Mus musculus: one gene and its partners. The protein of the gene in region 3 binds, or shares a complex with, the protein of the main gene of each other region. Links are inferred from orthologs where the notes say so. Each region holds a gene or a part of one and is shown on either strand. Other genes may lie near its edges.

Region 1 (7,100 bases), about 110 Mb from region 3:
GCAGCCTTCTGATACTTGAGAGTTCTAGTCAAGGCTGTTTACCAGCACTCCCATTCGCCCACTCCCCCTGTTCCCATCTCCCAGGTGTTTTCAGGTCTGCCTCCATCCCTCTAGATGGAGAGCCCGGTTCTGGCAGGATATGAAGTCAGCAGACGGGCAGCGAGCTCTGAGGATGGCAGCACCCAGCTGTGCATCGTGAGCACCATCTTGAGAATGTGGTCCCCTCGGCGCAGGCTGCCAGCCGAGTCTGGAGGAGGAAAGACAGGCTCTCAGCCTGGGCCCTGAACAATAGACCCTGGCTTCGAGAACTGAGTGGGCAGGCTGGCGGGATGGCATACATGTTTGTTCTACCTTTAATGCCCTGCAGGAACTTGGGTAAGCAACATGATTTCCTCATGCCTCCGTTTCCTTAGCTGGGGGGTGCATGGGATGGCATGAATCTGGCTCCCTGCCTTCAATCACAGTTGAGATGCTTAAAGTGCTTTGATCTTTTTAAGATTTAATTTCATTATTTTAAAGTGTGTTGTGTGTGTGTTTGCTCAAACGGGTGCAGGAGCCGTCTCAGGCCAATGTATCAGGTTCCCTGGAGCTGGGGTTACTGGTGGATATGAACCTTCTGAGGTAGGTACTAGAAGCCAAACTCAGGTCCTCTAGAAGAGAGATATGTGATTTAATCACTTAGCTGTCTTTCCAGTCCCTCTCTTATTTTTCTATTATTTATTTATTGGTTTTTCGAGTGTAGCCCTGACTGTCCCGGAACTCACTTTGTAGACGAGGCTGGCCTTGAACTCAGAAATCCGCCTGCCTCTGCCTTCTTAGTGCTGGGATTAAAGTCGTGCGCCACCACGCCCGGCTTCTTTTTTTTTTTTTTTTTGGTTTTTTCGAGACAGGGTTTCTCTGTGTAGCCCTGGCTGTCCTGGCACTCACTTTGTAGACCAGGCTGGCCTCGAACTCAGAAATCCACCTGCCTCTGCCTCCCGAGTGCTGGGATTAAAGGCGTGCGCCACCACGCCCGGCGTCACGCCCAGCTTCTTAATTTATTTTTTAAGACACGAATTACTATGTAGTCCTGCTGACTTGAAACTCGCTATTTAGATCAGCCTGGTCTCAGATTCAGAGAAATGCCTGCCTCTGCCTCCTGAATGCTGGAATTGAAGGCCTGCACCACATCGCCCAGGTAAGTCTGGAACTTTATCCTCCTGCCTCAGCCTTCAAAGGTAAGCCACCTAGCTCTCTCCCATCATTAACACAAGGACGAAAATTCCTCCTACTCAGCCATTTTCTATCCCAACCAGCGAGACTGAGATAGGAGAGGCTGACCCAGCTACTCACCAAAGCAGCGGATACATTCCTCCAATAGCTCATCTTCGCTGCAGCTGCTCTCACTCAGCACTCCCAGATTCATGGACGCCATGACCTTGCTGATTTCCCGGGGGGTGGGGCACGTCTTGTGGCGGCGGGCCTGACGTGACCGACCCCGCCCTCCTGCCTTCCCAGAGCATTCCTGATGAGACTTCCTGCAGGTACACACAGAAAGCCCACCGCGAAGCATCACGGGAGCCCCTTTCTCTAAGTACACTCCACGGACCAAAGTTCTTGCACATCAGATCTCAAGAGATACCCATGAAGGACTCATGGCTGACAAATCCCAAAATATTTTAGATCAGAGATCCAGGGCCAAGGGCGACTGACTCGTTCCTCGTTTTGTTTTTAATTATTGTTTTTACAGTTAGCGTACAAAATGATGGGACACTTTTCACACACAATATATATCATCGTACTAGTATCCATCTACCCCCTCTCTCATCTCGTTGGTTTCTTCTCTCTCCCAAATGTCCTTCTGCCTTCCTGTCACATGTGTATGTATGTACATATGTGTGTATGTATGTACATATGTGTGTATGCACACACTTAAATCTAGGTTTCATATACAAAGGAAAACACATCATATTTTGCCTCTCCCCTGTTATCCTCCGTTATTGCCACAAAAATTTCCTCTTGACAATATAGTCCCAAAGCATCATAATTTTGCAGTAAGTAGACCCCCAGGGTTTATCCTAGGACCCGAGGTCCAACCCCTGACGACTTCCCAAGGTGTCTCACGAGTTGGTCTTCAGGTTTCTTCCAAAGCCAGAATGTTCCCCCCCCAATCCAATTCCATAGAAGTGATACTTCTGTGTCCCAGTAATGGAGATGACCTATGTGGTCAGGCCTCTTGGAATCTACCCCACCACCCCATTCATTCCTGCAAGGCAGAATACCCCTCATCCAAGCTAGTTTTCGAACACCCAAGAGTCTTAGCCTCTAGCCTGCTCCCCACATTTTTTGAGCCAGGAGAGGAAGTAGACCAGAGCCTTCTCACAGGCTCCTGAGAGCTAGGCAGGATCCCTGGGGCCACAGCAGCTTCAAGGAAAGTTTAAAAATAACCTTTCCTGTCATATGCCTCCCTCGGTGCCTGCCCCAGGTGAGGAAAAAGGGGTGGTGGGAAGAAGGGAGGGCCAGAGGAAAGGATTCGAGGCTAGTCTTCAGACTCATCCAGAACTGGGTTCCAGAAATTTCTGATGGCTGTGTGCCTTTTAATAAGTGACCCAATGTCCTTCTGGCCCTTGCTTTCTTCATAGGAAAAGGTAGACTCATCCTTGGATTTCCCCCAGATGTTAGAACATCTGGATCCTCAAAGGGACCCGGCTGATGGGGCAGCTGACCTCCAGATAGGAAAAGAAAGCTGCACGTTGTGATGCTCTCTTGTAATCCTAGCTGCCTGGGAAACGGAGGCAGGGGGATTGCACGTTTAAGGCCAGCTTGGGCTTCAGAGCAAAACTCTCAACACAAAGACAAAAACAAAACACCACCTCAAAAACAAAAACAAACAAAACAAAACAAGACAGAAGGAGTTAGCCTGCCTTTCCGCATGGCATGGGTGTGAAATCACAAACAGGGACATCCTACAATAAAATCTGCCTTGTCTCCTGCAGCAGCATCAAAGGGGCTGTTAAATGTTAAATAAAGTGCACACCTGTTGCACAGCATCGACTAGAACGCAGGCTGAGCACTCTGTAAAAGATCAGGGTCTTGTGTTTTTTGTTTGTTTCTTGTTTTTTTTTTTTTTGTTTGTTTGTTTAGGTGCCCACACCAAGAACCAAAAGATTATCTTCCTGTGCGTTCCACCTAAGCACAGCATCTGAGGCTAGCCCACCCACAGTCTCACAGAATCTAAAACTTTCCGGGTGAGTCCAACGGCCTGTGCTTTTCAAGCCCTCTAAGTGGCTGTGCAATTAAAGACCCTCTGGAGTGGTAGCCAAGGTAACTCTGACAGAAGCGGGAACTGAGAAAGAGTACTGGAGTAACTTACCTAAGGCCACTCGGGCAGAGGATGAGATAGCAAGGATCCTCTCACTATACTGAATCCCTTTGCTCATCAGGTCATGCCAGGGAAGCGAGCTATCCAGGTTGGGGACCCAGCACCATCCCTCCTTAAGGGGTCAGGTGGGCAAGCAATGCCAGGAGACAGAAATCCGTTTGAGATCCTGCTGCCCCCTTACCTGCAGACCGGCAGCCCCCGGGAGTGTCTGGAGCAGCCAGGAGTGGTTTAAGAGTCAGGGAAGCTGCCTAGACCTACGTCATGAACCTCTCTCCTGGGACCCGGTCCTGCAGGAGCCTGGAGTTTCCAGTCCGGGGTGAGGGTGGGGGGCAGTGACCATAATAGGGAACAGAGAAGACCCCGGGGAAGACAGGGGCAGCCAGCTGAGGGAGCTAGGATGGAGAGACATAGGTCAGCTCAAACTCCAGGGAGAGACAGCAGCAGTAACGCAGGCTCAGGTGCTCAGCTCCCTGAAGCATCTCATTCTTGGACTCCACTAGAGCGGGTCTTGGAGGAGTCCCAAGACCCCTCTCCCACTCCCCACAGCCAGCGGCGCCAGGACTTTGGCTCTCCCAGGTCTCCTTGGGAAGGGTCCTCTTACCTTTTGATGTCTTTCCGGTTCATGTTTCTTGGAGGGGATGGGGAGGGTCGGGGGGGTGGGGTGGGGGCTCCTGACAGGAGTGTGATCAGGTTCCTTCCCTAACCAGATTGTCAGGCTCCGGGGAGCTGGAGCGTCCACCGAGTTTAGGAAGGAAAGAGGAACTGCCCCTCCCCACCCACCCCTAGGCCAGGGGGAAGGAAGAGGCTGGGGAGAGACCAAAGGCTCCCCTCCCCCTCACGGGGGATCCCTGCCTGCTGAGGTTTCCGGTGCTGCCTACCCCTCAGCGGGTTCGCTATCTATCGCTCCATCTTCCTTTCTCCCCCGTCTCTGTCACGCACGCACACACGCACACACACACACACACACACACACACACACACACACACACACACACACACACACACAGTTTTAAAAAGTGTGTAAAAACAGGCTCAAAAGAAAAGTCTGCATTTCTCTTTGCTTTTCTATCTCTCCCCTCTTTCCCTCCCTCTCCCCCCCACCCCGCCCCCTTCCTTCTCTCAAGTTAGATTCTCCTGAAGCTCACAGCTCAGGCTGGCCTTACAGCAGCAGCAAACCTCCCGAATGAGAACGAAGCAGGATTCATCCTCCCATATGCTGGGATTACAGGTGTGAACAGCAGGGCTGGTTTGAAGGACACCGTTTATACCTGGAAAACATTTTCACTTTATTACCCTCATTGTAAAATCCTTTATGTAGCACCTACTGTGCACCATATACTTCTCTAAGGTTTGGGGAGTTTTATTTCCTTATTATTTTCTAAAGGCATATTCCCCTTTTGCTGTATTTTATTTTTACTTGGAATCATGTGTATGTGTGGGTCTTTATGTGGGTGTGTTTGGTGCTCTTGGGGAGGCTAGAAACATCAGATCCCCCTGGAGCGGGGGTTCCAGGTAGTCCTGAGTCACACACAGAGCACAGGTACTGGGAACTAAACTCAGGTCTTCTGCAAGAGCAGGGCAGCCTCTTGGTTTTCATCTTGATATTGACTCTGCACTGCACTGCTTTTTGTTGTAGTGGTGTGTGTGTGTGTGTGTGTGTGTGTGTGTGTGTGTGTGTGTGTGTGTTAATTTTTAATGTAGATCAGACTAACCTCATATTCTTCTTGTAGCTGAGTAGCTGAGGATAACCTACCTCCATCACCTGAGTGCTGGAATTGTGCCTGGTTCACACAGTGATGAGGACTGAAGTTAGGGCTTGGTATGTTCCGGGCAAGCATCCTACTAACCAAGCTTCCCCCTCTACTCCCAAGGTTATCTTTTTATAATAAAAAATGTTACGGATAGAGGTAAGCCGTAAGCCATCTTTGTTTGTTTGTTTGTTTGTTTTTCAAGACAGGGTTTCTCTGTATAGCCTTGGCTGTCCTGGAACTCACTTTGTAGACCAGGCTGGCCTCGAACTCAGAAATCCGCCTGCCTCTGTCTCCTGAGTGCTGGGATTAAAGGCGTGTGCCACCATGCCCGGCACCGTAAGCCATCTTCACAGCTCCTTTGTACTGTTTCAAAGCAGAAAAAATGTTGATGTTCAGTTTTTGGAGACAGAGTTTCTGGAACTAGCTTTGTAGGCCAGGGTGGCCTCGAACTCAGAGATCCTTCTGCCTCAGTCTTCTGAGTGCTAGGATTTAAGGTGGGCACCACCATGCCCAGCCAGAATGACTGTTTCAAAGCCCCTTCTCTTTCCATTACTCCTCTTAGACTGCTATGAATGGTACTTTACATTGCTTGGTTTTGTCTCAAACGTTCTCTCTCTCTCTGTATAATTTTGTGCCCATTTTTTTATCTAAGTCTGTCATACTTTACATATTTTTTAATAATGTTTTTTTAAAGATTTATTTATGATTATAAATAAGTACACTGTAGTTGTCTTCAAATGCACCAGAAGAGGGCGTCAGATCTCATTATGGATGGTTATGAGCCACCATGTGGTTGCTGGGATTTGAACTCAGGACCTTCAGAAGAGCAGTCGGTGCTCTTAACCACTGAGCCATCTCACCAGCCCGCTTTACATATCTTTAATTGAAGTACCCAAAAAGAGCACACGTTGGTGTTTCAGTTGACAGATCGTCACTGAATGAGAAAACCCCAGCGGAGCTCACGTCAGGAACAGAACATTAACTGAGGCTGGTGCTGCTTCCAATCCCTGCCTTGGGTAGGGTCAGGCAACTAAGGCAGATAGATCTCTATGGGTTCAAGGCTAACCTGATCTAGACTGGAGCTACCCACCCCCATCTAACCCTACCCACAATCCAAAACCAAAAATGTCAGTTGACTCCAGAATACTCTTTCTTTCCTTCTTTCTTTCTTTCCTTCTTTCTCTCTCTCTCTCTCTCTCTCTCTGTCTGCCTGCCTGCCTGCCTGTCTGTCTTTCTTCCTTTCTTTCTCTTTCTTCCTTTCTCTCTCTCTCTTTCTCTCTCTCTTTCTCTCTCTCTCTTTCTTTCTTTCTTTCTTTCTTTCTTTCCTTCTTTCTTTCTTTCCTTCTTTCTCTCTCTTTCTCTCTCTCTCTCTCTCTCTCTGTCTGCCTGTCTGCCTGTCTGTCTGTCTGTCTGTCTTTCTTTCTTTCTTTCTTTCTTTCTTTCTTTCTTTCTTTCTTTCTTTCTCTTTCTTCCTTTCTCTCTCTCTCTTTCTTTCCTTCCTTCCTTCCTTCTCTCTTTCTTTCTTCTTTCTTTTTCTTCTGAGACAGGGTTCTTCTGTGTAACCCTGGCTATTCTGGAACTTACTGTGTAGATTAGGATGGCCTCTAATTCACTTGTGAGGTCTGCCTCTGCCTCTCAAGTGCTAGAACTAAAGGCGTGCATGTGCCACCTGGCCTTCAGAACATTCTAAATCTCTCTTAGTTCCTGTTACTGTCTCCCATGATTTATCTACAGCCTGATGTAAGCAGAGTAGGTGGGTTGGTTATTTATTTATTTATTTATTTATTTATTTATTTATTTATTTATTTTGTCTGTGTTAAAACTGTATGCAGGGGCTGGCGAGATGGCGAGGCAGTTAAGAGCTCTGTCTAAGCCGGGCGGTGCTGGCGCACACCTTTAATCCCAGCACTTGGGAGGCAGAGACAGGCGGATTTCTGAGTTCGAGGCCAGCCTGGTCTACAAAGAGTTCCAGGACAGCCAAGACTATA
Region 2 (7,159 bases), on a different chromosome or scaffold from region 3:
CACTTTTAACCACCGCTAGGTTACTAACATAATGTAAATGCAACTAACATGATGTAAATGCTTTGTAAATAGTTACTGTGCTGTGCTATGTTGCGTGGGGAATAATGACCAGAAAACACAGCTGTATATGCTAATAAGAGGTGTGTGTGCTTGTGTGTGTTACTTGGAACTAAACCTAAGGCCTCTAACATTCTAGGCAAACTCCACACCACTAAGCTATATCCTCAGGCTTTTCTTGTATTTATTTTGACATGGGGTCTCACAATGTGGCCCTGACCAAGTAATAGTTCTGCCTCAGGCTCCTAAGTAATTGAGATTATAGATCTATGGCGTCAGGCCTGTTTAAATATTTGTGGGTAGGAGGGAGGCAGTAGTTACTGGAATTTAAACTCCGGGCTGTATGTGTAATAGGCAAGCTCTCTATCACCACACTACAGTACTAGAAATTTTGTTTTCCAAATACTTTCAATTTGTATCACATAGACGTCAATGAACGCAAAGACTGCAGATATGGAGTCATCTGAACATTAGAATTTATACTGCTATAAATTTCCCTGAGAGGCCACCAAAGAGAAGGACCAGGTGAGAATGAGTCCACAACCAAGTAAGAAGCTCAAGGTCGGGAGGACAGAAGCACTCTCTGCTTTCAGCACTGTGCCGAGGATAGCATCTCACAGCAGAGTGGCCTACAATGGCACCTTTATGCCTGGTTCCCTTGAAAGGTAATTAGGACCTGTCAATCACTTATGGATTCCAAGCCATGATTTAAATGTGGATCATCTCTAGGGTCTGTTTCCAACCATGTCATAGTCCTTGTTTTCTATGCATTTGGAACTATGTTTGCATTATATAGACAAAAGAGCACAGGGTTCTTACAGCCTGGCTGAGCAGCCAGGCAGAATACACATGAAGAAATTGAAAAACAGAATGGGAGTGTATGACTGGGATACCGCTGGGGTACCACATCCTCAGATGAAAGGCATAATTCACAAGACCCAAGGCAAGTGAATATATTTCAGCTGTGCTAATTTTGCTAAGCATTTCACCAGACTCTAAAGGACAAATGTGAAGAGGAGGCTATACTTTAGGGAACACCCATGACTTTCAGACAGTGTGGCAAAAAAGAAAAAAAGAAAAAAGAAAAAAAAAGAAAGAAAGAAAAAGAGCCAGCCCATGCCCACCTATACCATAAGTGCCAATAAAAATGCTCACAGCGTCCAGGAGGGCAGCTGACACAAAGGGAAGAGACATTCCTGAGCCCCACTCTAGCTGAGCTGTGGTGACCGCCCCTAGCCTCAAGGGACAAAGCAGGGAGGAGACAGTTTGGTTTCTTTCAACTGTAAATTAACCAGTCCAGGGCCTGACCAGTGAAGGCTTTAGAAGGTGCTGCCCCACAGCCTCAGGGTTGGGGGAGCCAGAAGGAAGCATAGTCAATCTGATAATCAATCTAAAACTCTCAGCCAACACTAACTTCCTCGGAAGCTTCCTTTAGGTTAATAAAGAAGTGTGAAAAACTGAAATGTGAGCGTTCTAGAAACAACTTCCCAGAGAGAATCGCTGAAGGAAGCAGGAATGTTTAGCAAGGATAGAAGATAGGTGATAGGTGATAGGGCTGGTGGTGCAATCCGGTAATCCCAGCACTTGTTAGAAACAGAAAATCCGGAGTTCAAAGCCATCATTGGCTATGTAGTAAATTAAGGACCAGCCTGGACTACATGAGACTCTTCACAAGAAAGAAAAGAAGAAAAAGAAACAACGAAAAGGCGAAGTATATAGTGATGTCTTCAGCAGTGCAGATCAGTCCAGAGAAGGTCACCTGGGTGTGTAACGGTTAAAGAGAGAAAACCAACCATGTAAAACATTCAGAGGACCCGGAAACTTGGATGGGAATTAAAAAAAAAAGACTATTCTCATTCATCTTAGGTAGAAATTTAGCATTTCTTTAATTGTGAACTTTTACAACAAAGTTAGATAGAAGCAGAAGTAACTGATTGTGTCACCAATAAAAATAACACAGATTTTTCACATCATGTCATGGTCATTCATGGTGGATATCTTACAATATTATGCCTATTTAGGGCGAATGGTTGCCTCTATTTGACTAGATTAGAGGAATTTCCTAAATCAAGAGGCTATCACATTCCTAGGTAGCAATGAGCAGTATGGTAAGAAAGATGCACTTAAATTACCATCTCACAGCTTCAAAATCATCTTGTGTCTCATGAATGCAAATCAACATAATTTTCTCCTTTACTGATGTTTGCCATTGCATTTGGTGCATTTAAAGTGTTATTTTACATCCGTAGACTTCATTGAAGAGGTACGTACACAGCACACTCACCCCCAAAAATAAATAAATAAGTCTAAGGGAGAAGAGAGGAAAGACGGACTTAAGCTCCTTCAGGACAGTAAAACTAAAGGCCACAGTGGACCACAAAACACAAAAAAGACTTGGGAATGCCTCGCCAAAGCTAATAGACAAAGCCATTTTTCTGTCATCAGAAAATCTCTAATTTCTCCACTCCCTACATAGGCCTCTGTGTATTGCATGGCCTATATTGCTGCAGAGTCAACTCAGACTTGAGACCTATGAATTGTAATATCTAAATCCCAATAATTACAAATGACTCCTGTAAGAATCATATTTTGACAGATCTTGCTTTATCTTGTCCATTAGTTACAGCAATATAAGTAATGAAAAATCATGTTTACTGAACTAATGGAAACAGGTCCATCTGTAATCTCAAAATTCAGGAGGATCGCAAGTTCAAGGACAAGCTAGGCCATGCACATAGCAAGTTCCAGGCCTATATCCGTATGACCCTCTATCCAAAACTCCTAAAGGAGGGTGAAGGAAAGGAAGAAAAATAAGACCAAAAAAGGTGATGGGAAGAAACCCAAACTCTTACCAGGCACCACTGGGCTTCAGACAGACGTTGGCTCCCACTTTGCCTTATGTCCATTGCTGACAGAGTTCCCATTACATTCCCACAAGGCCATAGGAGACCAGCTTTCTTCTGATCAACGTAATTCCAAGCAGCTGGCCCAATACAGCCAGAAGGCAGAGTTCTCATGATGGCTCTGGTCCCAGTATACACAGACTTCTTAACTTCCCTGTCATTTTTACAAAACCTTCGGACTAACAACGTGGACCGCTCCTTTTTGCTTTTAAAAAAATCGTCTACGTCTTCACAATTGTCAGAGAAATCCTCCAGAGGGTTCAGAAAAGTCTTGGCAGCAGGACCGTGAGCAAAGCCGTCCTCGCAAAAGCCACCACCTGAGCAGACCTCATCGGCCTTTGAGCAGGAGCTTTCGAAGCACAGGTATTCATCGCGCAGCGAGGTACAGTGCTCACACTGGACTTGCCCATTCTTACTTCCACAGGTTCTTGTCAACTCCACCAGTTTGCAAGCATACGCCATGCAATTTTTATTTTGCTGCCCCCCAGGAAGAGTAACACAATTTGCACAGTCATCCAAAATCAGGTTTTCTGACAGGGTATGAAAAGCATCCGACATTGTCCTGTCAGCTTCATAATGGAAGTGAAATACCGCCGTGTTGCGGTCAGAGTGAGGTCCGCTGGACTCCATGATCCTAGGCTGACTTCCCGCAGGGCTCACGTCCATGGGAGAGTCCTCCATCTCCAGTTGAATTCCAGGGAGCACCTTCCTTTCCAGGGGAGAAGGAATTCCAGGCTGCAAACACGGGTCTTCTGTGACAGAGTCACGGGCTTCACAAAGCTGGCTCCGGGGAAACTGGTGCTGGTGGCTTTGCACTAAACTGTTGCCGTTCATCGCGTGGTTTTCCGGGGAGTCCGGTGCGTTTTCCTCCCAGCCCTCTTCGTTGGAATTCTCATCGCAGACTAGTTCCCCCCTCGCTATTGAGAAGACCTTGGACAAATCACTTCTAGACGACTCTTCCTTATGTTTGTTCCACTGTGAGATGGTAGGAGGGATGAGCGCACCCTGCCTGCCAGCACGTGCCCGAGGAATCCCCGCATCTGAGACCTTTACACTCCTCTCTTCTGCCACCGACTGGGCAGAAGCCACTTTCCTTTGAGTCACAGGGATGAGGACAGAAGCGGCCATTTCTTCCGACGTCATCTTGACCACTGTCGTTCATTCAGCTACTCTTCTGTGTTCCCTTCCCTGGCGATCATGTCCAGACAACAGATAATCTCAGATAATTCCAGTCTTTGTGCGAAGCAAGCTTGACAGTTCCTTTCATTCAGGTATATTAAGCGCCAAAGAAAACTTTCCAGTTGTAATTTCCTACAAGAACAGTTTGTTTTACACCAGTATTTCAAAACAGCAGGTCCGTTTTCTTCTTTTCTCTGTTGCCCGAAGCTAATTTTTAGAAGGATTTGGTTCGGGATCACATTCTGCGACTTGTGGCTTATTGTTAATGTGCAGGGATTTAAAAATCCAGTTTGAGTGTTTTCTGTGCCCTGTAAGAAAAGAGGTAATGTCAAACATTATGGCATTAAATCGGTTTTCAAAATCGAGTTGATAATTTTAAGTTAATGAAAACTATAGGTCAATTCTGAGGAGAGAGTTTTGCAATCAAAAGTTAGTCTGAATATTTTAAGCATGTATCATTTTGGCTTGACAATACAGAACTTCTGCTTCCAGCAAAAACGGAGTACAAAAATCAGATTTATCCTAGTGGATTAAATAAAACCCAAGCAAGAAAAAAAGAAAAAATACTAGTTTTTACACGATAAAGAGTAAAAACAAAATGTTGATATCTGAAGCAAAATAAAAATAAAGTGAGAACAGTGTAAATAAATACCTGAGCTCACTGCTTAGAGAGTTTTCAGGCCCAAATAGAACCCAATAGTGTGTGCATGTGTCTGTGTGTGTGTGTGTGTATGTATGTATGTATGTATGTATGTATGTATGTATGTGTGTGTATGTATGTGTGTGTGTGTGTGTGTGTGTGTGTGTGTGTGTGTGTGTATGTAAAAGGGAAAAAGCTAGAACTTCAGAATGGCCAAAGGCACTAGGGACATAAGACAGGAGTTGCAAAGGTAAGACAATATATTCTCATCTGAAACAATTCAAGCAAGGAAAGAATAGAGTAAGAAAAAAAACTATTAAGCAGAATTCAGTAGCAAAGAAATGTCTTCAACAAATGAAGATGAAGTAAGACCTTTTTCAGACATGCAGAGCCAAAATAATTCTAGCAGGGTTGAACTACAGAAAGTAATAAAGGAAGACCTTTGTGCAGAAGAAAAATTCTACCTATAAAGGAATAGAAGGCCTAAATGTGTTGAATATGTGTGGTTTTTTTTTCATTTTTTAAATCGCTTAGCAAGATAATTCATCATTTAAAGCAAAAATGGTGACTGTGTGTTGTAGGATTTCTTATAAACATTGAAGTGAATTGTCTGGGCGGAACAAAGGTCAAGAGCAGGGACCTGGAACAGTAATCCGACAAGGTTATTTCTATAGGAATCATTATGTGGTTGTTTAAAGGCAGACTAAAGGTGTACACTCTGATCACTTAGAAGAAAAGCACACAATTAAAATCATTAATAATTACAAAACCAAAAGGTAAACAAAGAAGATATGAGACCCAAAAAAAAAAAAAAAAGGAAAGAAATTAACAGTGGATTTAAATATTCCAAAATGCATCTCTAGTCAACATTTCTGTCACAAAGTACACACTTAAAGAAAATATCTCTTTGGTTTCATTTTAGTAAGAAATTGTTCAGTAGAATATAAGTTGACATAAAAGACTTTGATTTATGAAGCTGTAGTATTTTAAATAGCTTAGCTAATTTAAAGGCTTCGTCCTTTTTCTTTAACTACATTGAACCTTTTCCTAGTGCTGCATATTATACTGTAGAGTAGACAGCCAGCACCTGCATGCAACCCTAACAGAGTCAAACAAATTCCCATGTGATGAGGGAGGAAACATGAGGAATTCTGGGAGTAAGTCATAGGGCTCTGGCTCAGCTGCTGCTGAGCCTCCTCCCCCCACCCCCTCACCCCCCCACTCCCCTACCCTCCCACCCCCTCACCCCCACAATGGCATGCGAGTGCATCATCTTAAGAAAGGCTCCTCTGGCCTCAGTCAAGGCTTCCAGTAATTACAGTGGCAGCCAGCATTTGCAACCTCATAAGAAACGCTCGGCCATCAGCAGTGGAGGCACACGCCTTTAATCCCAGGACTAGGGAGGCAGAGGCAGGCAGATCTCTGTGGGTTTGAGGCTAGCCTGGTCTACACAGTGAATTCTAGGACAGTCAGGGCTACATGAATAAACCCTGTCTTGAAAAATCAAAAGTGAGAGAAAGAGAGGAGAAAGGGAGGAGAAAGAGATAGACCCTGAATCATATAAGGCCTCTCCCAAATTCCTACCCAGTTATATGGAATACTATATGCGCGTTGTCTTTCACCATAAATTTTGTGGTATATTGCTGTATAGCAACAGATAATACAAGTAAATTCTGCTCTCTATACTTGGGAAACTGGACATCAAGGCCTAGAAAAGCTAAATCAAGGAATAGTGAAGGATTCAGATCTAAGAAGCCTGACTCCAGAAGTTTTCCTTAATCGCTGTGCTGTTTTCTCTAACATCCAGTCTGAGACCTCATGGTTTCAGGTTCTGTTGTTTATAGACACACACGGCTGCTGGGAGTAGCTTATCTTTTATTTGAGTTCGTTTCAGAAGGCTGGGGATTGCAGACAGGCCACTGAAGCAATGATCTTTGTTTTGCTTCCAGCTGTAGTCAGGAATGGGAAGCATCACGGGGGAACTGACTCCCTGGCCTTGGCTCCGTCTCAGGATAGTCCTTTTTTTTTTCCCCAACAAATGTTTACTGAGTGAAAATTAAATGAGGCAAGCATCTTGCCCTTGATTTCTTTATGAGCTAATAAATGACCAGTCAAGGTATGTTACAAACAGGGCTGAGGACACCAAAACACCTAAACCAGATGGTGGGCATGAGGCAAGATTAGTTTTCACAGTGGGCCTTCTGGCGATGGTAACTGGGCTGCATCACTTAAGACCGGGAGGAGTCAGCAAAGTGATGACGTGGAGTACACCTTCAGAGAAGAGCATTGTGAAGGGAAATACTGCACAAAAGCAGCCAAACACAGGGTGTGGAATCTTTGGATGACACTGTATAGTCAGGACATGAGTTTCCCTCCTGCA
Region 3 (7,279 bases):
CCCATGGCTGCCCAGTCTCTTGTTTTGTGGGTGGGGGTTGTTTAGGCCCTGCCAGCTCAGCTCCCGTACCCGGATACTAGCTGTGCCTGGTCGAGACCCCTGGGATCCATCCCAGGCTGGGTCCATCCAAGTCCAACCTGTTAAGAGAAGCAGAGGGCCAAGTCTCCTTTACAAGATTCTAGTTCACAACAATGGCCCACAAAGCCATGACATTAACTCTGATCTTCCATCAGCCTCCCATTTCCCAGCCTGATTGGACCTGCTCTGAGGGGCCCCAGGCAATGTCAGTGGTCTAGATAACTGGATAGCACACATACCCCGCCCTAGCTTCTGTTCAGTTTTTTTTTTTTTTCCAATTTGGCTGATACCGTCCCTTTGCTTCTCTATTTTTAAAAAGAGATGTATGTATCCATTTTACAATTTGTGTGTGTGTGTGTGTGTGTGTGTGTGTATGTGGAGGCCAGAGAACAACTTTGGGTGCCATTCCTGGGGTGCCATCTTCTTCTTTTGAGATAAGGTTTCTCACTGGCCTGGGACTCACCAAGTAAGCTAAGCTTTGTCTCCACAGTGCTGGGATTATAAGCTCACACTACCATGCCTGGCATTTTGTATGATAATTTTGGGGATCAAGCTCAGGTCTTCATGTAGACAAAGCAATCAATTTGCTGTCTGAGCTATCTCCTTGGCCCCTGGTTCTATATTTGTTTCCCACACTGTCCACACAATGAGCACCGGCTCCAAGCTCCAAGCTTTGCTGTCTGGGGGCATCACAAAGGCTGTGAGTTGAGGCTGGAAAGCTAGCTCAGTGGTTTAGAGCACTTGCTCCTTTTACAGAGGACCTATGTTTGATTCCTAGCATCCATGATGGGTGGCTCCACATACACACACACACACACACACACACACAGACACACACACACACACGCTTATAAGATAAAGATTTTTTTAAAAGGCTGTGAGGCTAGGGATACTGTACAAGATGCCTGTAGTGACCAGCAGCAAGTGGCTACTGACAGTTCCCTGAGCTGCCCCTGACAATGGTTGTGGATCTGCCTTCATTAATGGTTTCATGAGTCTAAGTTTAGGATCAAGATAGCAGGCATTACCTCCAACCATCCACACAGTCTTCTGACTAAGTACCTGAAGGTAGCCGGCTCCTGCTGTAGGTCAAACATCCGGGCAAGGGGGCCACATGTGTCTACATGTAACACCTGTAAAAGAGAATTAGATTAGCTTCCTGGTTAGATCACTGTACTCTGTGGTACCTGAGCTGGCCAAGGTCACAGTATCCAGAAACAAGCAGGTACAAGAATGGGGGAGATGTTAGGTGGAGGCCTGGCCCTGAACTCCCTGTAACCATTCTAATGGAGGATAAAGCTTCTACAATGAGGATTCAGCCAGGGTCCCTCTTGGTCACCCAATGCAAATAAAGACATGATCCAAGTCCTACTTCTACTCCCAGAGGGGAGCCTGGGAATGCTCTTGTCAATCATCTGTGGGCCCGCCTCTCCTGCAGGCACTCCTTCCCATACTTTTTTTTCAGGTGCCTCTACACCTCTGGTAGGAAGTGCATAAACTGTTTCTCCTTAAAGATACAGAGGTCTGTGTTTGGCCCTAGATCTTATACTCAAGAGACAATGGCTAAGGTAAGAACTCTGTTCAGAACATTAAGTATATCCTTTCTTCTTAGTCCTCCTCCGTGGCCTCCATGCAGGTTTGGCCGACCCCTAACTCCTGTACTTCCTGCCGTTCCCAGATACATTTCTCTAGTTAGAGTGATCCCCTTCCACTGCACTTCATGACTTATTGCTTACTCTGTCCTGTATGTCTTGTCCCACAGACGTGGGTCGCCCAGGATCCCCCTAGCACAAAGGACATGGAGAGGAGGTGCTAGGCTCTCACCTGAGGGGTGGGCCAGAGTGCCCAAGACTTGGGGCGCAGCACTAGGCCCCTCCACCGCGGCGGTCGCTCTCTCAGGTGAGGGCTTTTTTTTTTAATTATTATTTTTACCACCGCGATGGGGTTGCAGGCCTGGCGCCATGGCAACGGGGGCGGGGCTCATTTGAATACCCAAATATTCGTGAGCCGCGGGCATCCGGGGCTTCGGTAAGATGAGCCCCGCCCCCTAGCAACGGTTGCCGGGACACGCGGCAGATCCGGTGGAAATGCTCCCTAGAGTAAGAGACAAGCCGGACGGCTGAACGCAGTGAAGGCACTCACGGTGGTTCAGAGAGCCGTCCGTGAGAGGCTTCTGGCCAGCTCTCGGTTATCTGCCTGCTAGATGAATAGAACAAGCCGAGCTTGCACCCCGGGCGGCGACCGGGGTGAGCGTGCAACCCCAGGCCTGCACGACCTGAGTAAAAGCCTGAGTTTTTCTGAGGACGTGCTTATTCGTTTCTTTGAAATTTCAAAAAGTGTTGAAAACATGTCATTTGCGTCTGACACAGATGTACCCTACTTGCTTGAGTGGGTGGAACACTTCATTTCGCCCCAATACCAACTTTTCTGACTTTCGGGGTCGTTCTTCAAATGGACGCAGTATGAGCTTCTGCAGTGTTGGGACCTCGAGTTTGAGAGCGGTAGGGGGGTCTTCTCCAAAACACGAAGAGCGCGGTGTGATGGGCCGACGCTGCCCCAGGATGGAGCCTTTGCTCCACCTCGACCTACGAGAACAGGCAGCTAGGGGTTCCGGCGAACTCTGTCTTCCTCTGTTATTCCGCGTCCGCGGTGCTGACTGTCCCCGACACCAATACCCGGTCGGGATGACCTTTCCACTCGTGGGCCTTTGGGCCTTTGGTGAGGCTGCAGGGTGGAGGCTCTGTAGTAGGTCCTCAACGCAACCCGAGCGTGCACCAGTTTCTCTCCGGAGAAATCCCGGGCTCGTAAGCACGGTCTCGGTCTGTCTCTTCTGCACCTAGGCACTAGACATCACTGTTGAGTGCAGGACCCAAGTTCCGGCACTGCCTTCCCCGCGGCTCCAGGAAGCCCCGCCCAGCTTCGGCTTCTGACGGATGGGTTGCTCAGCCAACCACAACAGGTCGCGGTGCGGAGGAGTTCGACCAATCACGGGCCGCCTCGAGTTGACGGACGGGCGTGGGGCGGAGCGGGGCGGGGCGAGCGCGGGCCCGGCCAAGTCCCCGCCGTCCGCTCCCGGCGCCCGCAGCCCGAGCCGCACCCGCCGCGGACGGAGCTCATGCGCGGGCCCAGCCGGCGCCCGTCCGCGCCCCCGCCCTGCCCCGGCCCCGGCCCCGGCCCCGGGGGCAGTCGCGCCAGCAAGCGGTGAGTGCGGGCACGGGGTGGGGCGCGGGGCGCAGGTGATCGGTGCTTCCTTGCTCCTCTCGGCCCGGCAGCGTGCCTAGCGTCCGGCTGCCCGCCTCTGCGGCCGGACTCGCTCTGCCTGTGGCCGTCCTCCCAGCGAGGCGCCGCCCGGGCCTCCGGAGACTCTGCGCCCCGCGGCCATCACGCTCGGGCCTCGGGGCCACAAGGACACCCGCGTTGGGCCCCAACCAGGGCCTTCTGCTCCCAGCCATCCCTCGCGTTCCTGTAGTCACCTGCTTCCCACACCCTCAGCCGTTTTTCCCCCCCTCTGTGAAAGCTCCCTGGCCCCTTGTGGAAGGTTTGTCTTAGTGGAGGGCAGGGTCCTTCTCCAGCCACCCTCCCCCCGCTGCCGGGACCGCGCCTGGCATGCAGTAGGCGCTCAGTAAATAGTTGTAGGTTGCACCCACATGCCGGCGGGCCAGAGCCGGTTGTAGGCTGGCATTGGCCTGCCTGGGCACGCCGAGGCCGCCGTGGCAGGACCTGTTTTTTGGGGGGTGGCCTCAGCCCTCAGGCGCCTCCAGTTGAGGGTTTCTGCCTACCTAGCGACTTCTAATTTGGGTGCGTGGTTGGGAGAAGCTCTCAGCTGTCAGCCCTGCCTTGGGGGCCTCTCCCTGCTTCCTCACACAGCCATTAAGTGCTGTTTGAGGAGGTTGGGGGGTGGGGGTGGGGTCCTCCCTTTTCAAGCTGAAGGTGCCACAGGTGATCAACTGGGCCACTGGCAGGCCTGCCTGCTCAATGCTGGAGAGGGCCCTTGGGTCAGGCATCTATTAGCCGTCTCAAGTGGCAAGGGCCTTGGCTAAGTGTGCTTCTCATTGGCAGGTGGGGCAGGAGCTCCTGGATTGGCAGCCGCTGTAGAAGCTATGACAGAATACAAGCTTGTGGTGGTGGGCGCTGGAGGCGTGGGAAAGAGTGCCCTGACCATCCAGCTGATCCAGAACCACTTTGTGGACGAGTATGATCCCACTATAGAGGTGAGCTCTGCCTACCTGCCAGAGGTGGGCTGTGGCAGTGGTCATGGGTAAATGACCAAACAGCCCAGGTCTTGTAGGTGTTATGGGGTATGATCCATCAGGGTATGAGAGGTGCAAGGGTGTAGGCTGGTTCTGTGGATTCTCTGGTCTGAGGAGAGGTGAGACCCCACCCCCACCCCCCACCCCCACTAAGCCGTGTTGTTTTGCAGGACTCCTACCGGAAACAGGTGGTCATTGATGGGGAGACATGTCTACTGGACATCTTAGACACAGCAGGTCAAGAAGAGTATAGTGCCATGCGGGACCAGTACATGCGCACAGGGGAGGGCTTCCTCTGTGTATTTGCCATCAACAACACCAAGTCCTTCGAGGACATCCATCAGTACAGGTGAGCCACCTATGGCTAGCCCGTGAGCCCGTGGCACACGTGAGGAAGGTTCCGTGTGCACACTGAGGCTTTATGTCTTTTTTTGAATGTCCTGGACACAGTCATGCCTGCAGCCTGCTAGCTGGCTCATATCCACCCCATCCCCCTCCAGGGAGCAGATCAAGCGGGTGAAAGATTCAGATGATGTGCCAATGGTGCTGGTGGGCAACAAGTGTGACCTGGCTGCTCGCACTGTTGAGTCTCGGCAGGCCCAGGACCTTGCTCGCAGCTATGGCATCCCCTACATTGAAACATCAGCCAAGACCCGGCAGGTGAGCCTGTTTCCCTCTCCACAGCTAGTCAAGGATTTACCGCACCCCACCCCAGCCAGGGAGCAGAGCTCATTGCCGCTCTCCCTCAACACAGGGCAGCCGCTCTGGCTCCAGCTCCGGGACCCTCTGGGATCCCCCCTCCCCCGGGACCCATGTGACCCAGCGGCCCTCAAGCTGTAAGTCTCCCAGACCGCAGGGCTGTGAGGGAGGCAAGGGCCAGGGTCTGGGCTTATGCCCTGCAGTTCTGAGTTCACATAGCTCTAGGGCAGGATGGGGTCCCTGGAGAGAGCTGCCCTGAGCCAGGCCGGAGCGGCGACCCAGGGGCCTTAGTTCTTCTTGTCCCCAGTGTCCTGTGGATACTGGCTAGTTTTAAGCCCTTCAGTGTTGTTAGGCTGTTCAACTTGAGACGTACTGGGGGTCTGGGAGAGTCCTGAGTTAAGTGGCTCTGACTTTGAGTGATACTCAGGAGTGAACCCTATTTCAGGAGAGTGGCCTGTGCCTTTTGGATGGCCAGGGCCCAGCTCCCTATTTGTGTTGGTTTTGCAGCTGAGGAAGGGAGCCTCCAGCGTTGGGGTGTGACCTGATCTAGGCAGGGAGTTTCTTACCCAGACAGCACCCCTTTTCTCCCCAGAGTCCTCTCTGATCTAGTCCCTCTGTCCCCAGGGCGTGGAGGATGCCTTCTATACACTAGTCCGTGAGATTCGGCAGCATAAATTGCGGAAACTGAACCCACCCGATGAGAGTGGTCCTGGCTGCATGAGCTGCAAATGTGTGCTGTCCTGACACCAGGTGAGGCAGGGACCAGCGAGACGTCTGGGGCAGTGACCTCAGCTAGCCAGATGAACTTCATATCCACTCTGATGTCCTTGCTCCCCCAATTCTGCCAATCCCCCCCGCCTGCAGTCAGTCATGTCCTTTGTGCCCGTCCCGGCACAGGCTCAGGACATGGAGGTGCCGGATGCAGGGAGGAGGTGCCGACGGAAGGAAGGAAAGAGGCGGGAAGGAAGGAAACGGTGCTGGAGCCAGGCCAGTCCAGGGATGGTGGACAGATGTGACCAAGACCTTCGCATGGACAATTTGAACAGACTGTCATGAACTGTCCCTGTTGCCACTGGCACCCAAGTCCTCCACCCCTCTCAGTTCCCTCCGGGCGCCTGCCTGTGAGGGCACACGTTGCATCACAGTAAATTATTTGATGGTCTTGACTTGTCTCTGGCTGGAAGTAGGAGGTGCACTGCCTGTGGCCTCACAGAAGATGCTGGGCACCTGGGGTCCATCATCTGCCTTGCTCCTGTGCTAGAAGAGGCTGGGGAGGCTGGCCTGGGACCTCGGACTATACAGCCCTTCCCTTCTGCCTGTCCCAACTGTCTTGTGTTTGCTGCAGAAAGTTATAGGCAACACAAGGATAGTCAGGTGATATGACCTATTGTCCTTTAACTAATGGGAGGAGGAGGGCTCTGAGAGTAAGAGGGTATCCCTTGTCTCCAGCAGGAAACACATTTCCTGCATTCTGGGATCCATGAAATACAGCCTCAAGAGTGACAGAGTGTAAGATTTGCCCTGACCCAACATCCTGCAGCCCTCTGACCTGGGATGGAGATTCTAGGACTATGGAAATAGGGCCCTGATGTTATCTGTGTAGCCTCGGGTCCCACTGGTGCCTAGGGCCTGGCATCACAACTCCCTGAGAGGGTAGAAAGTGCCTCACTGGTTGCTCCCTCTTCTCTGAGGTGTACAGATGTTCTTCTCCAAGTCACCTGTATGGCCTTGAGAGGCACGTGCAGGTCAGATGGCTGCTCACTGCGTGCTTCCTTCTGGCTCTAGTCATGGCTACAGGAGGGTCCATCTGCTTATCCTGCTCCTCTTCCTGGCCACTGGGGCCCATGGTGGGTGCCCTTTATACTTTCCAGACTCGAGTGGAATTGGGTGAAGTCCCTCTGTTTAGGGCACTTGAAATGCAAGGAGCCTCCAATAGACATGATGTAGAGCCTGCTGCTGAGTGGCTGGGCAGTGCGACACCACAGTTGCTCTCTTCCACAGCAGCCAAATGTTCAGCTTCCCTTGTCTGTGTGTATCTGGGGCTCCTGAGGTATCATCTGGAGCGTCAGTGACACCTTCGGAGCCTTGTTGGTCATGAACTTAAGGTGGGTGGGAGATAGTGTCTGCTACACTAGGAGTTGTCCCTGGCCCTGTTTGAGAGTTTTAGCAGGCTGGGTCCATTCTGAGCTGTGATTGTCAGGGTAGTCAGGAGCTCAGTGTTGCTGTTGGAAGCAGGAGGGTGGAAAATATGG
Region 4 (6,592 bases), on a different chromosome or scaffold from region 3:
TTTCCCAAGGGAAAAAAAAAAAGAACTTCTCCTGTGCAAGCATAGGTCGGTGTGTATGTGTGATTTTGTATGTGGATGAGCGCACATGTGTGGGCATACATGTGTTTGGAAGCCAAGGGTTCACACCTTGAGCCTTCCTCAATTAGTTTCCACTTTGTTTTAAGATGTGTCTCTCTCATTGAGCCGCAAACCTGTAGACTTGCTGGGCCAGCCAGCCACCACATTCCAGGGACTCTTGTGCCTCTGAGTTGGCAGTGATAGAATTGCAAGCACACCACCAGTCAAAATATAGAAACAACCAAAATGGTCTATCAGTGGACAAACAAACACCAGTGGAGAGGGGTTCATATATCATTCCAGTCACAGGAGAGGTGAACTCATAAAGGCAGCTCAAATCAGTGGCTACCAAGGCCTGGGAGAAACTACATATTGAGAACACTATCTTCTTTTGGACCTCAATATAAGTTATGGTTGCCCAACATACTGACTGTGTGAAACATTAATTGTTCATATGAAGATTAACTTGATGAACTCAATAAAAAAAAAAACCTTGAAAACTACAAAATAAAGCTTCTCTCTACATCTAGCATGGCATGATCCTGTTCTCGCTACACTGTTGTCTTCTTTTCTATCTCACTCCCATGCAGCATGCCAGGAAAGGGTTAACACATTAAAGATAGTAAGAACAGCATAACAAAGACAGGAAGGAACACGGGTCCCAGAACATAGGCCCAGTGTAAACTAAGATGGAAGCCAGTGAGCTTCCTTGGCCTCTCCCTTTTCTGCCACAGCTGAAAGAAAATGAGGGACACTAAACATTCCAAACGAGACCCAGTTTTTATTAATTTTTATTTCTGAATGCTGTAGAAAGCTGGTTTTAGTATACACTTAGTTATCTAAACCTTTCTCTGCTAATATACTAAATGATATGATACATGATAATTAGTATAACATGTGGTATGTGATATGATATAATTAATATAATATACATTATTTATACATTACCAAATCATACCAGTTATCAAGTATGAATTATGAAGAATGTCTCAGAATCTGCTGAAACTTCTATTTTATAAGGAAGATTTAAGAACAGTAATAATCCACATATTTTTGAACTTCAGTAGCAATTGAGAACTGACTGTATAAACAGGCCCATTCTGAGGGTTGTGCCTTTTTCAATGAACACATTTTTTTTTTGTAATTTCCACAACGATTACTAACAAAGCAGTATTTTCAGAAGGAAATGGTTGATCATTTTTATAATTAGAAAATTAAAGCTGTAACAAATTTACTGGCATAAATAAATACTTTAAAAATAAACGTGCTTTTGAAAATTATTGTTTGCATTTTTATCTATTTACTTATTTATTTATTGTGTATTTGCACATGCATGAGTTCTCATATGCATATGGAGGTCAAAAGCAACCTTTTGGGTCTCTGGTGTCAAACTCAGGTCATTATGTTTGGAACAAGTTCCTTTACTTTTGAGTCATTTTAATGTCTCCTAAATATGTGTTTTCAACACAATTTGGAAGAAACCAGTCTGTGTCCTCCCTATTCTTATCTACCTTTGGAACATTCTAACTCTCCTCAAAAGTTTCATCAACAAATTATACTAACAAAATTTTAATTTCAACATGGTATACAAGATATGCATCAAAACATATTCAAAATTAAATGTATGTACCCATTTTCCGCTGTACTCATTACACTACAAAGCACTTAATAAAGCAGTCGCTGCTGGAGCGGGGGAGGGTGTCAGTGCTGTTTAAGAGTGTCGACCATGCTCCAGGGTAAAGCTACACATCTAAGAACACTCACAGAGCAGAAAGTGGACTTTATGGAGGGGTTGGGGGAATACACAGCCATGGATTAGGAGAAACGCAGGGTGGAACCAGGAAGAGTTGGGGGAGGAATGACGAATATGATCAGATGATCAAAAGATGTAGGAAATTCTCAAAGAACACACACACACACACACACAATAGAATGTAAAATAATTCCAATTAGCAATATCTAAGGGAAAAAAAATTAAATACAACTCCCTATGGGTTTGGGGCAATTTTACAAACACAGACTAAGTTGTATACAGGAGTCCTGTCACTCAGCTACACTGGCTATATATGTGAGACCAACAATAAAAAGTCATTTCTAGAAACAGAATACCTGCTTCACACAGAAAAGACTCGTAGATTAGGATAGTCACTCTATTCTGTATGTTCATCTCTTGGACTCAAGAGAGCAGTGGTTATTTTTCTTTTTGCCTTAGAGCCACACAGGTGATGGGAGGATCTTCACATTGGAAAGTAGATGTGTCTTTAAACACTTACAGATGTCAGAGCATCTCGCAAGCACCCACCCGTCCCAAGAGATTACCTTCAGCAGTCGGATGGCGGTCACCCAGCACGTCCTGCTCTGCTCTTCTTCTGCACAGAGCATTTTCAGGTCCCGGGGCCCTCCTGCTTTGTTAGGCTAGAAGGCCACAGCATATTATTTATTGTTAATGCATATCTCGAAGGTAACACCTGTTGAAATAAAAGCCACTAAAATTCTCCTATACATACGAGAACTCTAGCTCTTTTCAAAAGAAATCGAAAGAAACTCAAGATTACCTAAGAGGCTGAGGCTTGCTTTACTCATCTATCAAAACATTAAGCAGTACCTTTAAGCAGAATCCATAGGGAGTTGGCGCTCCGTGTTTTTTTTTTCCTGCCAGTGACATATAAACGTGACTAGTGCTGAATTCACTGAAAAGCTGCAAATGCCGTGGTTCCTTAAAGAAAAAAAAATATGTGAACATTGACTTGGATGCACAGTTCTACAATATCTTTTGCATTTCTCATATTGCACAATTTATACCTCGGCCAAAATAACATGATCTCAAGCAAAATTCTACACCAGTGTCACACACACACACACACACACACACACACACACACACACAAAGCCAAAAGTAAACAGGGTTGCCATTTTCGTAAATAACCAAGAGCTGCATACAATTTCATTTAAATTGACGAGGGGTAGTTTGTTTATAATTTTACTATTTTAAGTTTCCGGTTCTCATTAACCATCGTGTCAAACTGAAAGAGGAAAACAGAAGCCTGCCAGGCTCGTGAAAGCGTTTCTGTCATCTCTGTGTCGAGTGATCGCTTCTGCCACAGGAGGAAATCTGGCTTCTTGAGAAGATGGGAAAAAGAGAGAAAGAAAATCCTGCTTCTTTCAGATACACCCATCCCTCGCATGTGTCTGTCTGTGCTGACAGCTGACTTCGTGGCCATCTTCTTCCACAAAAGGAGAGAAGTCTACACAGAAGAGTTCAGGGAAATTACCTGGGATGGAATGTGTCTGATTGTCAGGGCAAAGGGAAATCATGAGCAGCTATTTCTTCTCAGGAAAACCCGAGAGATTTGGAGCTGGCCATAGGAAATTCCTGGGTCATAGTACTCCGTGCTAGGTTAATAGCTTGGAGAAGTGCTTAATTCTGAGGTTGACTATATAATCAAAACTGGCCCAAATGCATTTGTTCTCCAAAACCTTGCGACTAGCAGTGTGGGCACTGACCCACAGAACCAGTCTCACCTGGAGCTTGTTAGAAAGGTAAAATCTCATTGCCCGCTCCAGGCCCATTAAATCAATATCTGCATTTTAACCAGATCCCAGGTGGTCTCCTATACGCAGTGTTTAGCAGCAGTGCTCTCTCTCTCTCTCTCTCTCTCTCTCTCTCTCTCTCTCTCACACACACACACACACACACACACACACACACACACTCACACTCATGCATATATGCACACACAATTTACACATGGAAATAATTCTAAAGTAACCTACTAAGGAAAAATTGGGGACATAATAACACTGTGATTTTTTTTTTAAGACCTTAATATATCTGCTACCTGATAATCTTGGTTTTGTTTCTTATTTTTCCTATGAAGAGGTCTTGGTTGAATACTTTCACTTCCAGTGAAGTAAATGTTGTGTGGGAGTGACTAATGGCTACTATAAGGCTAGGAGGTATGACTGTGAATTACATGTGAGTGAAAGCCTTAAGTACTGTCTTTCCTTCTCCTCTCTTACATAAACATCTATACATTTACTAATAGATTCTGACAACTAAATCAATATAGCTCTTAGTATGTATTTTTATTATCAAATCAGTTTCTGTCAGTGAATAATATATTATAGTTTAAAAAGTCACAACAGTAAGAAAGCATTTCCATGTTCCAATTCCTCATTTTGTTTTTCTTAAACAAATGATTTTCTTTTTGTAAAAGATTTATTTATTGTATTTATGTGAGTATACTGTAGCTGTTTTTAGACATACCAGAAGAGGGCATCAAATCCCATTATAGATGGCTGTGAGCCACCATGTGGTTGCTGGGAATTGAACTCAGGACCTTTAGAAGAACAGTCAATGCTCTTAACCGCTGAGCCGTCTCTCCACTTCCTCAAACGTTTTTTGTTTGTTTGTTTGTTTTGTTTTGTTTTGTTTTGTTTTGTTTTAAATCAAGTCTATTCTGGCCAGGCATAGTGGCACATGCCTTTAATCCCAGGACTTTGAGTCAGAGTCAGGAAGATCTCAGTGAATTTGAGGCTAGCCTGGAGAGAGTTCCCAGATATCTAGGACTACATAGAGAGAACCTGTCTCAAAAACCCAATCTAAGTAAGTGAATAAATATAAAAAAAATATTCTGCTTTACTTTCCAAAGACGTCAAGAAGTACCTGCTTAGGAACAATGGCACACAGTGACATCTTTTGAGTTGTAACAGCTTACTGGTAAATGATAATAAAATGTGTTCCAATTTGGACAGGGTTGTTCACAATGCTTAATGTTCTGTGTATGTGTGTGTGTGTGTGTGTGTGTGTGTGTGTGTGTGTGTGTGTGAGTGTATACCATGGCATGCTTGTGAAGTTCAAAGAAAGAGTAGGAGTCAGCTCTTCCCTTCCAGCGTGTGAATTCAAACAATCTTGAACTCAGGTTGTTAGACTTAGCCAGTGAGTGCTGAGCCATTTCACCTGCCTGATATGTGGATTAGAAGAATAGTATTTTATCTATTGACAGCCACCATTTAAAATACCATTACTCCAGGTTTTAAGATAGACTTTCCTGCCTCTGGAGTCCAGTTATATAAAACAGTTTTGTTTTGTTTTGTTTAAGGTTCAGGGGCTGCAGAGATGCAGAGATGCTTCAGTGGTTGAGAAAAGGTCTTACTGCTCTTGTAGAGGACCAGGGTTTAGTTCTGAGCACCCATTCAGTTGCCTAAAACTCCAAGTCCAGGAGACCCAACACTTCTGACCTCTACAGGGTCTTGCATGCATGTTATTCATAGGCATACACTCATGCACACAACATAACCTAAACATAGAGTGAAACTAATATTTTTTAAAAGAAGGAGGAAAAATCACATTAGGTTTCAAATCTGAAGCCTTTGATGAGAAAGAAGCAAGAAACCCGGTTTGGAGTGGGAGGAGTGGATTCCTTTGATATATGAGTAAGAGCATCCAGAGTCCTAAATGCTATAGACAGACTCAACGTAAAGCAAATCCGAAGACGTTTAAAACCTATTATAGCAGATGTCTAGGGTTCAAACAACTCTCGACATCAGTTAGGAGAGTAATCACCATAACAAAATCAAACCTGATGTCATAGAGCATAATAGATAGTTCATAACACACCCCAAATACTGTGGCTTACCTTGGATGTGCCTTTAGTAGAAAAATATAAGCCAGATCTTCTGAGAAAAAAGTAAGCTTTTTTCCAAGACTTCTTTCCCTGTTCCTTTGCATGTAAGAAGCCATGGATTTCAGGATACGTGCTGGAGCTTAAAAACACCTGGAAGACACATGAGATGTGATCCTAAACTTTGGGAACAATGATGCCACTAGTCTTTTACCCATCAGACACAACCATGAAAACCCACATAGTAGCAATGGCATTTGCACTGGACCAAGATTACAATGCATGCTTGACAGAGCTCAGTCAAAAAAACCTGGCACAAGTTCCGAATTAAGTTTGTGCAGAAAATATACATTCAATATAATCAGTAAAATGGGTAAAAACCAAAATTACACCTATTTGAATTTATACTTGAAAGTGGACACTATCTAGAGACTTAACTCCAGACATGTTTCATCTTCTTCTATAGATTCTCATACAAGTATTTGGCCTTAAAGTACATTATGTAATGCAGTGTACTGTAAGACTGCCATCCTGACTTCAATCATTAGACAGCTGAATCAAGCTCACCTCCCTAGTGAGGGTTAAGCATGCTCTCTCTCTCTCTCTCTCTCTCTCTCTCTTTGTCTCCTGTGATTTGGGCTTTAGGTGGGCATAGCAGACTGGGCTTTAAAGGGAAATGTTTATAGCATCTCCTATCCCACATGCTTCTGCAGTGTGGTCTTGGCATTGAGTCTTGAAAAGGTGGAGTCAGTTTTCCATGCCCTGGAATCCTCATAAGTCAGTCACCCTTAGAATTTGGTTGGAGAAACAAGAAATACCACCAGTTCTTAATGGGGAGGTCTTAGCTTAATGGTTTCCACAAACTGATTCAGATTAAAAAAAAAAATGTAGTCACCTAAGACCACCATGGG

Evidence for each region.
Region 1: the proteins of Hras (region 3) and Rasgrp4 are in contact, whole or in part, in a crystal structure (PDB 6AXG), measured with the Homo sapiens proteins. The link is inferred for Mus musculus from reciprocal best matches to the Homo sapiens genes HRAS and RASGRP4. Residues at the interface, in NP_001123914.1 of Homo sapiens: Glu3, Gly12, Gly13, Gly15, Ser17, Ala18, Ile21, Asp33, Pro34, Thr35, Ile36, Glu37, Tyr40, Arg41, Asp54, Leu56, Asp57, Ala59, Gly60, Gln61, Glu63, Tyr64, Ser65, Ala66, Met67, Arg68, Asp69, Gln70, Arg73, Thr74; in NP_733749.1 of Homo sapiens: Tyr228, Gly232, Val234, Val244, Asn248, Ser251, Asn288, Met291, Ala292, Gly295, Gly296, Cys298, His299, Ser300, Leu327, Ala328, Ser329, His330, Asn331, Asn332, Tyr333, Ala334, Arg337, Leu351, Gly352, Val353, Leu355, Lys356, Val359, Ser360.
Region 2: the proteins of Hras (region 3) and Plce1 are in contact, whole or in part, in a crystal structure (PDB 2C5L), measured with the Homo sapiens proteins. The link is inferred for Mus musculus from reciprocal best matches to the Homo sapiens genes HRAS and PLCE1. Residues at the interface, in NP_001123914.1 of Homo sapiens: Ile24, Gln25, His27, Val29, Glu31, Asp33, Ile36, Glu37, Asp38, Ser39, Tyr40, Arg41, Glu63, Tyr64; in NP_057425.3 of Homo sapiens: Phe2138, Pro2146, Glu2147, Gln2148, Pro2149, Arg2150, Thr2151, Val2152, Ile2153, Lys2154, Lys2171, Tyr2174, Ser2175.
Region 4: the proteins of Hras (region 3) and Grb14 are in contact, whole or in part, in a crystal structure (PDB 4K81), measured with the Homo sapiens proteins. The link is inferred for Mus musculus from reciprocal best matches to the Homo sapiens genes HRAS and GRB14. Residues at the interface, in NP_001123914.1 of Homo sapiens: Glu31, Asp33, Pro34, Ile36, Glu37, Asp38, Ser39, Tyr40, Arg41, Tyr64, Met67; in NP_004481.2 of Homo sapiens: Val109, Lys111, Asp116, Glu117, Thr118, Ser119, Arg120, Ala121, Leu122, Asp123, Lys140, His142.

What each region holds. Positions count from the first base shown.
Region 1 is NC_000073.6:29,131,958-29,139,057, reverse strand, and holds the start of Rasgrp4 (RAS guanyl-releasing protein 4), read right to left. Parts: upstream 4,126-7,100; 5' UTR 3,986-4,125; coding exon 3,963-3,985; exon of another isoform or gene 1,553-3,962; coding exon of another isoform or gene 1,518-1,552; coding exon 1,333-1,517; intron 248-1,332; coding exon 142-247; intron 16-141; coding exon 1-15.
Region 2 is NC_000085.6:38,521,203-38,528,361, reverse strand, and holds the start of Plce1 (1-phosphatidylinositol 4,5-bisphosphate phosphodiesterase epsilon-1), read right to left. Parts: upstream 4,166-7,159; 5' UTR 4,104-4,165; coding exon 2,910-4,103; intron 1-2,909. UniProt on the Homo sapiens protein: The production of the second messenger molecules diacylglycerol (DAG) and inositol 1,4,5-trisphosphate (IP3) is mediated by activated phosphatidylinositol-specific phospholipase C enzymes.
Region 3 is NC_000073.6:141,189,840-141,197,118, reverse strand, and holds Hras (GTPase HRas), read left to right. Parts: upstream 1-3,114; 5' UTR 3,115-3,279; intron 3,280-3,310; exon of another isoform or gene 3,311-3,616; intron 3,617-4,137; 5' UTR 4,138-4,178; coding exon 4,179-4,289; intron 4,290-4,498; coding exon 4,499-4,677; intron 4,678-4,778; exon of another isoform or gene 4,779-4,828; coding exon 4,829-4,988; intron 4,989-5,082; coding exon of another isoform or gene 5,083-5,164; intron 5,165-5,651; coding exon 5,652-5,771; 3' UTR 5,772-7,185; downstream 7,186-7,279. Other genes in the region: Lrrc56 (leucine-rich repeat-containing protein 56), read right to left, coding at 1-137, 1,107-1,116. UniProt on the Homo sapiens protein: Involved in the activation of Ras protein signal transduction. Ras proteins bind GDP/GTP and possess intrinsic GTPase activity.
Region 4 is NC_000068.7:64,927,524-64,934,115, forward strand, and holds part of Grb14 (growth factor receptor-bound protein 14), read right to left. Parts: intron 5,835-6,592; coding exon 5,697-5,834; intron 2,774-5,696; coding exon 2,663-2,773; intron 2,473-2,662; coding exon 2,377-2,472; intron 1-2,376. UniProt on the Homo sapiens protein: Adapter protein which modulates coupling of cell surface receptor kinases with specific signaling pathways. Binds to, and suppresses signals from, the activated insulin receptor (INSR). Potent inhibitor of insulin-stimulated MAPK3 phosphorylation.